2 linked regions of the Arabidopsis thaliana genome follow. The protein of the gene in region 1 interacts with the protein of each later gene in a pairwise test. Each region holds a gene or a part of one and is shown on either strand. Other genes may lie near its edges.

Region 1 (6,590 bases):
AAACGGGATGGGATGTTTCGACAAAATACGATCCCAATCATCGTTGAAAGAGTTGCGAAACTCTCCGTCTTTGTCCATCATATATGCGAATCCGGCCATCACAGCGATAACCTAGAGTTTCAACAATCTTCTTATTATCAGACGTCAAAAAGATTCAGACAATCTCTATGAAAAACAAGCTTCAAAAATGGCAAGTCACAGTGAGCAAAATGAACAATTTGATAGTCATCAACTTCCATTGTCAATTTCAAGCACCCACCATGTGTACGCAGTAACCAGGTCAAGATTCGAATCTAGTTCACTTTGTGAGCCAGATTATGACATCATATAAAATTTATCCTCAGAATCTCTTAATAAATGCTTTATAATCCTCACGAAAACTATGAAGAGAAGCTGAGAGAGAGAGATACTCACAGTCTGCACAGCTAAGAAAACCAAAAGCACATCTCTTGCGACAAAGAGTCTGAATTTAGCTTTTCTACGCCACGAATTGTTATCCTCAAAGGGTTCGACTCTCAGATGAAACTGTGCTTTGCAAGTAGTACAGTGAGAGAAAGCAAAACCTTCTTTAACCGATCGCCAATGATCGAGACATGAGCGATGCACGAATTGTTGAGTGCCTTTACACATACAAGGTGAAATCAATTCATCGCCTAACAATTCACTATCGTCCTCCAAACAAATACGACAACAAGGAGCTGAAGAAGCATCGTTCTCTAAATCTTCTTCAGCCTTTATCTCATCGCTATTTCCTGCCACCACAGACGCAGCAGAAGGAGACGCCGAAGAAGAATTGGTGTGATCTCCTAACAAAGGAGCGGAATCACTTAGTTTCTGTGAATCCGGTGGCTGCAATTGTACTTCACCTTGCATCATTGATCCAAACCTTCGCTAACCCTAAATTTCAGACAAGAAATCTGTGGGTGGAAATCAATCGGTGTGATTAGAGGACTAATGATTCGAATCGAGTCAAATACATTAGCGTCTCTGTGTTCGTTGATCGGCTAGAGAATAATCGTGCGGGGATGTGAGAAGATTATTTACAGAAGTGGGAGAGAGGCAAAACATAAAACTGGAGAAGAAGGGTCAATGCGAGAGAGAAACGAAAGCTTCTTTATTTTGGGAATTGAAAATTACAGAGAAAAAGGGAAATGGGGTGAGAGAGGCTCGAACTCTCGACCTCAGGATCACTCAATAGCTATGAGACCTACGCGCTAGCCAACTGCGCCACCACCCCAATGTTGGGAATTTGTACACGTGTTAATTTATTATATCATATTCATTTATTCTCCTGGCAAAACAGTGACCGGTCCACCACAAATTGCCAAATCCTAGTATCATTAGTCAAAGCTTTGATGTACTCGTAAACTTCTAATATTAACCGCCATTTATCAGTAAAATCGGTTGAGTTGTTGCTGCTAGATTATGATTAGTAGATTGCTGCTATAAATTCGGTTTACAAAAATTGTATGAAATGGCGTAATTTTGGTTTTTGTATCTGATTATTGTTCATTTAATTCGGACAGTGATTGAATCTCTCTCCTAATTTCAATGATACGTAAACCGATTGAGATATCATCAACCCGGCTTTGTTATTATCGACTAATGGTTGTACCGGTCGGTAAAGTCCGGCTATTAAATTGCATTATTAAATTTAGGTTCTTTAACGACATTTAGGGGGAAGCACATGAATGCTGCAATAAATGAAAGAAGCAATTGAATAAAGAAAGAGAAGAGAGAAGACCGTTGGAGAAGACGAGGAAGCAACCATGTGCTTTGGTTTCTACTTGGTACAGCATTCCATGAGCTTTTTTCTTCTCTTTGACTAGTATATTTTATTGTAGAAAATTAAATGGAGGAAAAAGCTAAACTTTCTTAATCACAGATGCAGATTGATTCTCCATTTTTCTCGGGAGAAAAGTTCCTCGCCGGAGATGGAGCATATGATGAAAGAAGGAAGGTCTCTTGCAGAGACGCCGACTTACTCTGTTGCTTCGGTTGTTACTGTTTTGGTCTTTGTTTGCTTTCTCGTTGAACGCGCCATTTACAGATTTGGAAAGGTGTGTTTTTGTTTTGTATTTTTTCTTCGTGTGTGTGCCTACTATATGTTTGTTGAAATGCTCAGCTCAAAAGAATGAGTGTGAAGAACGTATTATGATTTTTTTTTTTTTTCTGCACACTTGCCACTTGGGTTAACTCTTGCTCTCCATGATTCATGAGCTGGAAATGTTTTATCTAATAATGGGTGCTAGAAAGTGAGAATTTTTATGGACGAGATGTTTCTTCTTGGAGATATGTGTTTATGCTTGCTAAATGTCAGTAGAAGTAGTGTTGATGTTTTCACTCTAAGAGAAGTCATTATTACAGGATGTGTCTTTCATGTTAGATATATATGAGGAGCTAATTTCATGTTCTGTTTTGTTTTCAGTGGTTAAAGAAGACTAGAAGAAAGGCACTTTTTACTTCACTTGAGAAAATGAAAGAGGGTATGTCAAATAAACCTGTGCTGATGTTGTGGTGCTTTATACTTTCTTTCTTTTTCGTTTGATTTTGACTTGTTAAACTTTCTTGGTAGAGTTGATGTTGCTGGGACTTATATCACTTCTGTTGTCACAAAGCGCGAGATGGATTTCAGAAATCTGTGTTAACTCTTCCCTTTTCAATAGTAAATTCTACATTTGCTCTGAAGAGGACTATGGAATCCATAAGAAAGTTCTTCTGGAACACACCTCTTCTACAAACCAGAGCTCCTTACCTCATCATGGAATACATGAAGCCTCTCATCAATGTGGTCATGTAAATATTTACTTTTTCTATCGACTTAAGAGCCTATTTTCCTTTTGACTTTTAATTATATTACTGAACTGGATGTTGGATCCAATGCCAGGGCCGTGAACCATTTGTGTCGTATGAGGGACTCGAGCAACTCCTAAGATTCTTATTCGTCCTGGGTATCACTCATGTTCTATACAGTGGCATTGCCATTGGTTTAGCCATGAGCAAGGTACACATCCTAGCTCCTAAATCTACATATGAGTGTTAAATTTGTATTCTTAAGTATTTCTATGTTGCTCCGAAAGGAAGAGATGTATTATACTTGCAATCAACTTTATCCTCATGTCTAGAGGATGTAGAGAACCTCATGATCAAATAATTAGTGGTCCTAAGTATATGTCAAATAGAAATTATCTTCAATCTGAAAATTGAGGGAAAACCTTCGATATTATCATTTATGTGCATAGAGTGTTAGTAAGATTAAGCAGACGAACATATCAATACCATCTGAAACAGTGTTGTCTTTTTATCACGTAACACAGATTTACAGTTGGAGAAAATGGGAAGCCCAAGCGATCATAATGGCTGAATCAGATATCCACGGTAAATGACAAGACTTTTCTGTCTCTCCTTCAAATTAAGGCTTGTATGTTTTTGATGGGTCTCATCTTGAGGGCACATGAGGAACTGTGTTATCTTAGGATTAAGAACAGCATGAAACTAGGATTCTGTTAAGTATTTAGGTTGTTCATTCATGAACTCACTTAAGCTGTGGAGAGGCTTTTATGCAGATTTGCAAATTTCGCTTCATCTTGACTAGCAGATCAAATCCAGTATAATCACTTATAAATACTGATATAGGAAAAATTCCTTTCTGTCCTAGTATAATCACTTATACAGGATTGAAATGAACTGTGTGGAAAAGAGATGTATCTCTGTAATTTTAGCTTTATCACAAACAGCTGATTCATTGTTAAAGATACTTAATGCCTAGGATGCTTTAGTTTCCAGTCATATATACCCTAGTCTTCTTGACTTTGTTCAACAGCAAAGAAGACCAAGGTGATGAAGCGTCAGTCTACATTTGTTTTCCATCATGCCTCTCATCCTTGGAGTAACAATCGTTTTCTCATTTGGATGGTAACTCCCCATGCTTTTACCTTAAGCTGTAATTTTTTAAAAATTTCATATCTCTAGTTAAGAACACTGTTATATTTTTCTCCAGAAGCTATTTTTACGGCATTTGTCCAGCAATAAAATATATGTTTGCATTGCAGCTTTGTTTCCTGCGGCAATTTAGAGGCTCCATACGAAAGTCTGACTACTTCGCACTTCGGTTAGGTTTCCTCACTGTGAGTAACTTTTTTATTTCGTTTCTCAGTCTTTCCTTCAAATTTAAAATATAACTTTCTAGTAATTTCTCAAGAATTCTCATCTAATCTGGTAGCTGACATGATTAGTTTTCTGAATCCGGTCTTCATTACTTTAAAATTTCAGAAACATAATTTGCCATTTACATACAACTTCCATATGTATATGGTACGGACGATGGAAGATGAGTTTCATGGCATTGTTGGAATTAGGTATGCGTTTCTGAGAATTGAGATCTTATCAAAGACTCTTTATTCAACTGTTTTCAGAAGATTTCGTAAGGGAGTTACAGAATGGGACTGATGAATGTTTCTTGATGAATCAACAGCTGGCCACTTTGGGTTTACGCTATAGTATGCATCTGCATAAATGTTCATGGTAACTTATCGGTTCAATAAATACAAACTACATTCCATTTCTATCTCCACATTAAAGCTTTGTCTTTACTAATTCAGTGATTTCCTTGCAGGCCTGAATATGTACTTTTGGATATCATTCGTTCCTGCCATTGTAAGTAAAAGCAAGATTAAGTAAAAAGCTTGAAATTCATAAGGCAGTACTAACACTCAGAGCATGTGTTTGTATCTGTTTTGTTGTCTAAGCTTGTCATGTTGGTTGGAACCAAACTTGAGCATGTTGTCTCCAAGCTTGCTCTCGAGGTTAAGGAGCAGCAGACAGGCACATCTAATGGGGCTCAAGTCAAACCACGTGATGGGCTCTTCTGGTTTGGGAAACCAGAAATTCTGCTACGGTTGATACAATTTATCATTTTTCAGGTAAGCAAAAAGACTTTTCCTTTCTCAATTCTTCAAGCCATGATATTACTCTATTCACACAGATGATCCTTATATATTTCCTGCTAATGCAGAATGCATTTGAAATGGCAACATTCATCTGGTTCTTGGTAAGGCCACCTTATAAAATGCATCAATACTTAAATCAGCTATGCAAAGTTTTTCAGTTTTTGAGAAGATCATCAATTTCATGTATCAGTGGGGAATCAAGGAAAGATCTTGCTTCATGAAGAACCATGTGATGATATCAAGCCGGCTAATTTCTGGGTGCGTTTCAAATACACAACAATTCGCAGCAACACACTGTCTCTTAAGATTTTTTTTTTCTTTCTGGTGAATGCAGGGTTCTCGTTCAGTTCTGGTGTAGTTATGGCACTGTGCCTCTCAATGTAATCGTTACTCAGGTTCGTCAAAACCTTTCATATATCTACAATTCCACAATCTTAAGCCTATCCAAGTCTGTGACTAAACATCGTTCATAAAAACTCTATGGTTTCACCTGAATCTGAACAGATGGGATCTCGGCATAAGAAAGCTGTGATAGCAGAGAGCGTAAGAGACTCACTTCACAGTTGGTGCAAGAGAGTGAAAGAGAGGTCTAAGCACACGAGATCAGTGTGTTCCCTTGACACAGCAACAATAGACGAGAGAGACGAGATGACAGTGGGGACATTGTCTAGGAGCTCATCGATGACTTCACTGAATCAGATTACCATAAACTCCATAGACCAAGCAGAGTCTATATTCGGAGCAGCAGCTTCATCCAGCAGTCCTCAAGATGGATACACGTCGAGGGTGGAAGAATATCTGTCTGAAACATACAATAACATCGGTTCGATACCGCCTTTAAACGATGAGATTGAGATTGAGATTGAAGGTGAAGAAGATAATGGAGGGAGAGGAAGTGGGAGTGATGAGAATAACGGTGATGCTGGAGAAACACTTCTTGAGTTGTTTAGGAGGACTTGATCTTGTTTCTGCTTTTAGAAGCTTGGTTCAGTTGTAATTACTTGACATCCATACAAGAATAACAATTAACAAAGTAAATCTTTTGTTGGTCCAGTAAAAAAAAGTATTCAATGATCAAAGTACATCTTTTGTTGGTTCAGAGGTAAATTTAAAATATAATAGCATGGATTGGAACGAGATATTATGGCATTAGGAAACTTTTTGATTATGGCAGTATAAACAAAGACCACAAATTATGGCAGCTATACATATATTGATTTCAAAACAGAGATAAAGACTTGTCACCTGTCATTTGATTATTTATGAATTTACCTCTGCAGCATTTTCCTTCTTCTGTGCAGTCACGCCTACCGATGGATTTGATTAATTTCCTGTCGATTATTACTAAGTTGTATTTCTAGTAAATACAACTTAAAAGTAGTTTTGTACTCGGTCTTAAAACTAGTTTTGTACATAGTTTTTGAGTAAGATACTTTGTTTTTTTTGGGACAAAGAGTAAGTTAGTAATATCAAATTTTATCATAGTGATTGTTAATTTATGTCAACTACGAAATTAAGAAGTTATCAAATCTGATTTGAGTTATGATAACAATGTCATTGATAGACTCGGTCAATTATGGCATTAAGAAAATCTAAGGATTTAAGTAACCAGGTATCAATTATTACCGCCGTTGGTATTGA
Region 2 (5,491 bases), 430 kb from region 1:
TTTAAGATTTTTCTTTTCCATGTAGTTGTCTCATACTTCCTTCGAAAAGATCTTTCTCTAACTTCAACCTTGGGGATCGAGCAACCATATTTCAATCAACAGATTCTTTCATCACTCTAATAACGGACAAAAAAAGAAAAGATGTCAAAAAAAAAAAAATTGGAATATGCACGTTGATACTATAAGTTCATTTAAATCAGTCGTTAGAGTAAACCTTATTGAGAGTTCAAATTCATTTAAAAACCTGATGAGATAATTATATAATTTCTTATAAGATTTTTTTTTCTTGTAAGAATTTAACGAATAGAATTTTTCTCTCTATTACTTAAAATTCCTCCTCGTCAAAAATTGCAAATGCTTGGCAGTTTTACCATTTTCTCAGAACTACCGTATGAGAAATAAAGTACGTATTAAAAAACAATACAAGCTTTAAAGATAAAAGAGGCAACAAATTTTTTTGACAAAAAAATTAGATGAAAAGAAGTGACGACAAATAACTGAGAAAACACGTTTTGCAAAACTAAAAAAAAAAAAAAAAAGAGAGAGTTGGAAAATGTTTGGAGCTGGTGGGCATTAGTTGGCTATGCAACGCACGGACGCGGATACTTTTCAACTCGTTGCTTACGCGGCCACGTTTTCGTCACAAACCGTGTTTCTTTTGCGGCCTTTTAAGTTTTAATCAAACATTTTTGTTTTCATTTGAATCTTTTTTTTAAGGCGGTTATACGAATAAAATCATTAAAAGGAGAAACGGGCCTTCATGTTTAGGTTTTTGTTCTTCCTCATTTGGGTTATTTAGCTTATTGGTTCAGCCCACAAGAGTTTCCTTCAATGGATAGGGCCTTCAGTTGCATGCCATCATCCTTTCTTGTTTCTCTATAAGCCATTTTTGCAATGAGAATTTCTCAATTTCTTATTTTTGCAATAAAATCATTTTGCCTTAGATGATGGTGGAATCATCCGTTTTTCTTTATTTTGACCCGGTGAGTAATTGAACGCAAAAAATAGTCCAATTATTCAAAACCTTACAATTTCATATCGCCATAATAAACCTAAACATGATTCGAGTGAGCAACTACATAAAAAGGGGAACGAAATGTTGGTACAAAACTGAATTCCAACCCAATCAAGTGCATACTAAACTATTGAGCAAAAACAAAGATAAAAATCAGTTCACCTACCCTAATTAAAACATGATTAGGCCTAAAAGACTATAAGTAAAGATAAAAAAGATGCCATTTTAGAGTACGTTTTGGTAAATTGGCGCCATCGTGTTATACGTTTAAACCGTATAACCTGAATCATGCAGCACGTGTACGGCTCACATTGGCCCAAGCTTGATTAACAAACAATAACGTCATTTTCGTATTTCAACAATTTTGATCGCTCAATCCTTTCGACCTAATTTCCATATTAAGTAATTTATTAGTTAAAACAACGGACTCAACCAAATTACATATTAAGAGAATATTTGAAAATTGTCTATGTAGATGAACATGTATTTGAAAATTGCGTAAGCACACTCTTTCTCTCTCTCTTTTTTTTTTTTTTTTTTCCCCCTCTTCTTTCTTTGAATAAAGATGACATTTTTTTCTGTTCCAAACACAAAACTGCATATTGATAGTGTTATTGAATACTCAACGTCTCTTCTTCCAGCTTACGTAAGTGGAACTTACTTTTTGCCCCGTGATCCAACAGAAAATGACGAATGCTCCCTCAAAATCATTTCGTTTCAACAAAAATATGTATTTTATCCATAGAGAAACAACAAACCTTACACTATATACCCTCTTTTAACGTGCCCACTTTTCATTATTTACACAATTTCCCCAACAAATTTAAAACAATTTACAAAAAGCACTCAACTTTCCTAAAGTAGATTCCTTTAGTCCAATGGAATTCTTACAACATCTTCTTCTTCGCCACCTTTTTCTCTCCACTTTAAGCTTTTTCACTCTCTCTACGCCACGACGACTGTGAAGCGAGAAATGGCTACTTCCGATCAAGATCGCCGTCACAGAGTCACTCGCAACCGTCCACCAATAGCTCGACCCTCTACTTCTTCATCTCGTCCCGTTGTATCTCCTCCTAGATCAAAAGTTTCGAAGCGTGTGCTTCTCCGTGTAGCTTCCGTCGCATGCGGGATTCAATTCGGATGGGCTCTTCAGCTTTCTCTCCTCACACCTTACGTTCAAGAGCTGGGGATCCCACACGCTTGGGCTAGTGTGATTTGGCTTTGCGGTCCTCTCTCTGGTTTGTTCGTGCAACCGCTCGTTGGGCATAGTAGCGATAGGTGTACTAGTAAGTACGGTCGTCGGAGACCGTTTATTGTCGCCGGAGCTGTGGCGATTTCTATCTCTGTTATGGTTATTGGTCATGCGGCGGATATTGGATGGGCATTTGGGGATAGAGAAGGGAAGATTAAGCCGAGGGCGATTGTTGCTTTTGTTTTAGGGTTTTGGATTCTTGATGTTGCTAATAATATGACTCAAGGTCCTTGTAGAGCTCTCCTTGCTGATCTTACTGGTAAAGTTCCTGACTTTAGTGTTGATTGGGTCTTCAATTTGAAATCATTCAAATGTAGTAAATTTGGGATTCTCGTGATTATACACTCACATGCAAAACATGAAAATGCATAAATTTGTGATTTTGGATACAATTTGGGGTTATATAATTACCTAATTGGTTCCTAACAATCAAAAGGTCCCTTCTTTGTTTCTGGTCGGTGGCTTATCGTTGAGTCACAGAGACTTTGTTTTTTCTCTTTCCCTTGAATCAAATTGTGGATTTTGGTGAAGTTAATCGTAGCCTACGATTGTGTGATAACCTCATGGAGTGAAAACAAAGATATGTTGTGTTTTAATTCTTGTCCTATTGCTTTATTTTCAGAGAATGATAATCGCAGAACCCGAGTTGCAAATGGCTACTTCTCTCTCTTTATGGCTGTTGGCAATGTTCTTGGCTATGCTACTGGATCATACAATGGTTGGTACAAGATCTTCACTTTTACGAAGACAGTTGCATGTAATGTGGAATGTGCCAATCTCAAGTCTGCCTTCTACATAGATGTTGTCTTTATTGCAATAACTACGATCCTAAGCGTCTCAGCGGCTCATGAGGTGCCACTTGCTTCATTGGCTTCTGAAGCACATGGGCAAACCAGTGGAACAGACGAAGCTTTTCTTTCTGAGATATTTGGAACTTTCAGATATTTTCCAGGAAATGTTTGGATAATCTTGCTTGTTACAGCATTGACATGGATTGGTTGGTTTCCATTTATTCTGTTTGATACTGATTGGATGGGTCGAGAGATCTATGGCGGTGAACCGAACATAGGGACTTCATATAGTGCTGGGGTCAGTATGGGTGCACTTGGTTTGATGTTGAATTCTGTTTTTCTTGGAATCACTTCTGTGCTCATGGAGAAACTTTGCAGAAAGTGGGGGGCTGGTTTTGTTTGGGGAATATCAAATATCTTAATGGCTATTTGCTTTCTTGGAATGATAATCACCTCATTTGTTGCGTCTCACCTTGGCTACATTGGCCATGAACAACCTCCTGCCAGCATCGTGTTTGCTGCTGTGTTAATCTTTACAATTCTGGGCATTCCATTGGCGGTAAGTTTACTCCTGTAATTCTGCTGTCATGTTACTTACACTATTACTTATGATATTTTGCCTGCTCATCTGTAACAACATGATGAAATTTATTTACGCTTTCGCTGTAACTAATGCTATTGCTACTCTTCTGCAGATAACTTACAGCGTCCCATATGCGTTGATTTCCATACGTATTGAATCCCTGGGCTTAGGTCAAGGTGTGCAGGCTTATCTTTGGGTGTTGTTTCTTATAAAAGTTCTGTTGTGTTGTTTCTTAGAAAAGTTCTGCTCAATGATTTTACTCTACATATGAGTGTTGTTTCTTATAAAAGTTCTGTTGTGGCAGGCTTATCTTTGGGTGTGCTAAATTTGGCGATAGTCATCCCACAGGTACACTTCTTTCAACCATCCTTTTAGCATTATATTTGCCGCAACTCAAAATCATATTCTTCTTTGAATGTTTCTGCCTGTAAAAGGAAGTCTATAAGCATAACATGCAGCAGAGTTACTGCATTATTTGTCAATTGTCATTAATAAACGATTCGTTTTTTTAGTTATGGTCATTGGCCAGTGATGAAAGTACACTTTTTATTTCTCTATATTAGTTGATTGATGAATTTCTTCCCTATGTTGGTTATGGTTTTTGGCATCAAACTCAAATTCTGTTGTTCAATCATTTATGTGTTTGCAGGTAATTGTGTCTGTTGGCAGTGGCCCATGGGATCAACTGTTTGGAGGTGGGAATTCACCGGCACTTGCAGTAGGAGCAGCTACAGGCTTCATTGGCGGAATTGTAGCTATCTTGGCTCTTCCACGGACAAGGATTCAGAAGCCCATCCCTCTCCCATGAGATTCTCTCTTTTGTTATATAAGGTAATAATGTCACAATTCTTTCACAAAAAGTACATAGTAAGCACTTAAGTTGTCACTGATTATTAAAAGCGGCTAATGCGAAATAGATGAGTGTCAAGCGAGGAACGCATAAGGGGAGTGCTTGGAAATGGCAAGGAGATGGAACACTTAATGTGATCCTTGTCGAAAATTCGTGCAATGGCTTCTCGTGTGACTAACTTATTTGCAGCTACTAGGACTTAATCCCCTCTACTTTGGGGACTATGATCCTTGTATACACGAGGCACCATAGAACCAATGAAAATAATACATCATTCAGTTTGTGAGGTATATGCATCTCTCCTTTATTGGAAGTTCCAGTTCGGGATCTTCTCTGTTTTTTTTGTTGTTGTTGTAAATTAATGTAAAAACCTGTGTACAACAGAGTGTTTGTAAGGGCCCCTGAGTTCTGTAACTGTTTATAAAGTTCATTTTCTTTAGAATTAGTTTGATAAAGAAAACCTGAGATCCAAAAAATTTACATGATCTGTGTAGCAAAAGTAGAAAGGAACCATTACGAGTACTAGTAGTCTCTATAGTAGCAGTAACCACCAATAGTCAGCAATAGATTAGGATGACTCTTGGGAATATTAAGACCATCTCCAATGGTTAAGAAGTAATTGGTTCTTAACCAAACATCTTAACAATTATTTATACTAAAATTTTGAAACATGACATGTAACTGTTTTTTTCACTCATGAAAACTTCTTAGCTAAGAAGCAAATCTTAGTTTTTAATTTATTTTGATTTAATTTTCAAAGTTTAATTCTAAAATATTATTCTAAGATACACCTAAGATAAACCATTGGAAGTGCTCTAAGCCTAGTAGGAAGGAATAGTAGCAAATCCCAGTTTTCTTCTTGAGTGAGATGTTTGAGATTGAAATTACTGTAATGCTATTGAGATTCTGTAGGCAGCGTATCAATAATTGAGAGAAATAAGTAGATGCTAATACAGCTTGAGCAATACTTATCCTTGTAAAATTGTGAATGATTCCAGAG

What was found. The genes of interacting proteins can lie anywhere in the genome.
Region 2: the proteins of MLO4 (region 1) and SUT4 interact in a protein complementation assay, tested with the Arabidopsis thaliana proteins (one large-scale study listed by BioGRID).

Annotation. Positions count from the first base shown.
Region 1 is NC_003070.9:3,671,254-3,677,843, reverse strand, and holds MLO4 (Seven transmembrane MLO family protein), read left to right. Parts: upstream 1-1,710; 5' UTR 1,711-1,790; exon of another isoform or gene 1,791-1,885; 5' UTR 1,886-1,934; coding exon 1,935-2,060; intron 2,061-2,428; coding exon 2,429-2,486; intron 2,487-2,575; coding exon 2,576-2,796; intron 2,797-2,887; coding exon 2,888-3,004; intron 3,005-3,317; coding exon 3,318-3,378; intron 3,379-3,823; coding exon 3,824-3,915; intron 3,916-4,052; coding exon 4,053-4,127; intron 4,128-4,272; coding exon 4,273-4,358; intron 4,359-4,474; coding exon 4,475-4,524; intron 4,525-4,615; coding exon 4,616-4,656; intron 4,657-4,748; coding exon 4,749-4,922; intron 4,923-5,014; coding exon 5,015-5,050; intron 5,051-5,139; coding exon 5,140-5,207; coding exon of another isoform or gene 5,208-5,277; exon of another isoform or gene 5,278-5,283; coding exon 5,284-5,344; intron 5,345-5,453; coding exon 5,454-5,909; 3' UTR 5,910-6,088; downstream 6,089-6,590. Other genes in the region: AT1G11020 (RING/FYVE/PHD zinc finger superfamily protein), read right to left, coding at 1-111, 415-876.
Region 2 is NC_003070.9:3,242,270-3,247,760, forward strand, and holds SUT4 (sucrose transporter 4), read left to right. Parts: upstream 1-1,716; 5' UTR 1,717-1,988; coding exon 1,989-2,526; intron 2,527-2,889; coding exon 2,890-3,617; intron 3,618-3,753; coding exon 3,754-3,817; intron 3,818-3,945; coding exon 3,946-3,989; intron 3,990-4,290; coding exon 4,291-4,449; 3' UTR 4,450-4,472; intron 4,473-4,558; 3' UTR 4,559-4,947; downstream 4,948-5,491. UniProt on the Arabidopsis thaliana protein: Responsible for the transport of sucrose into the cell, with the concomitant uptake of protons (symport system). Can also transport maltose at a lesser rate. May also transport biotin.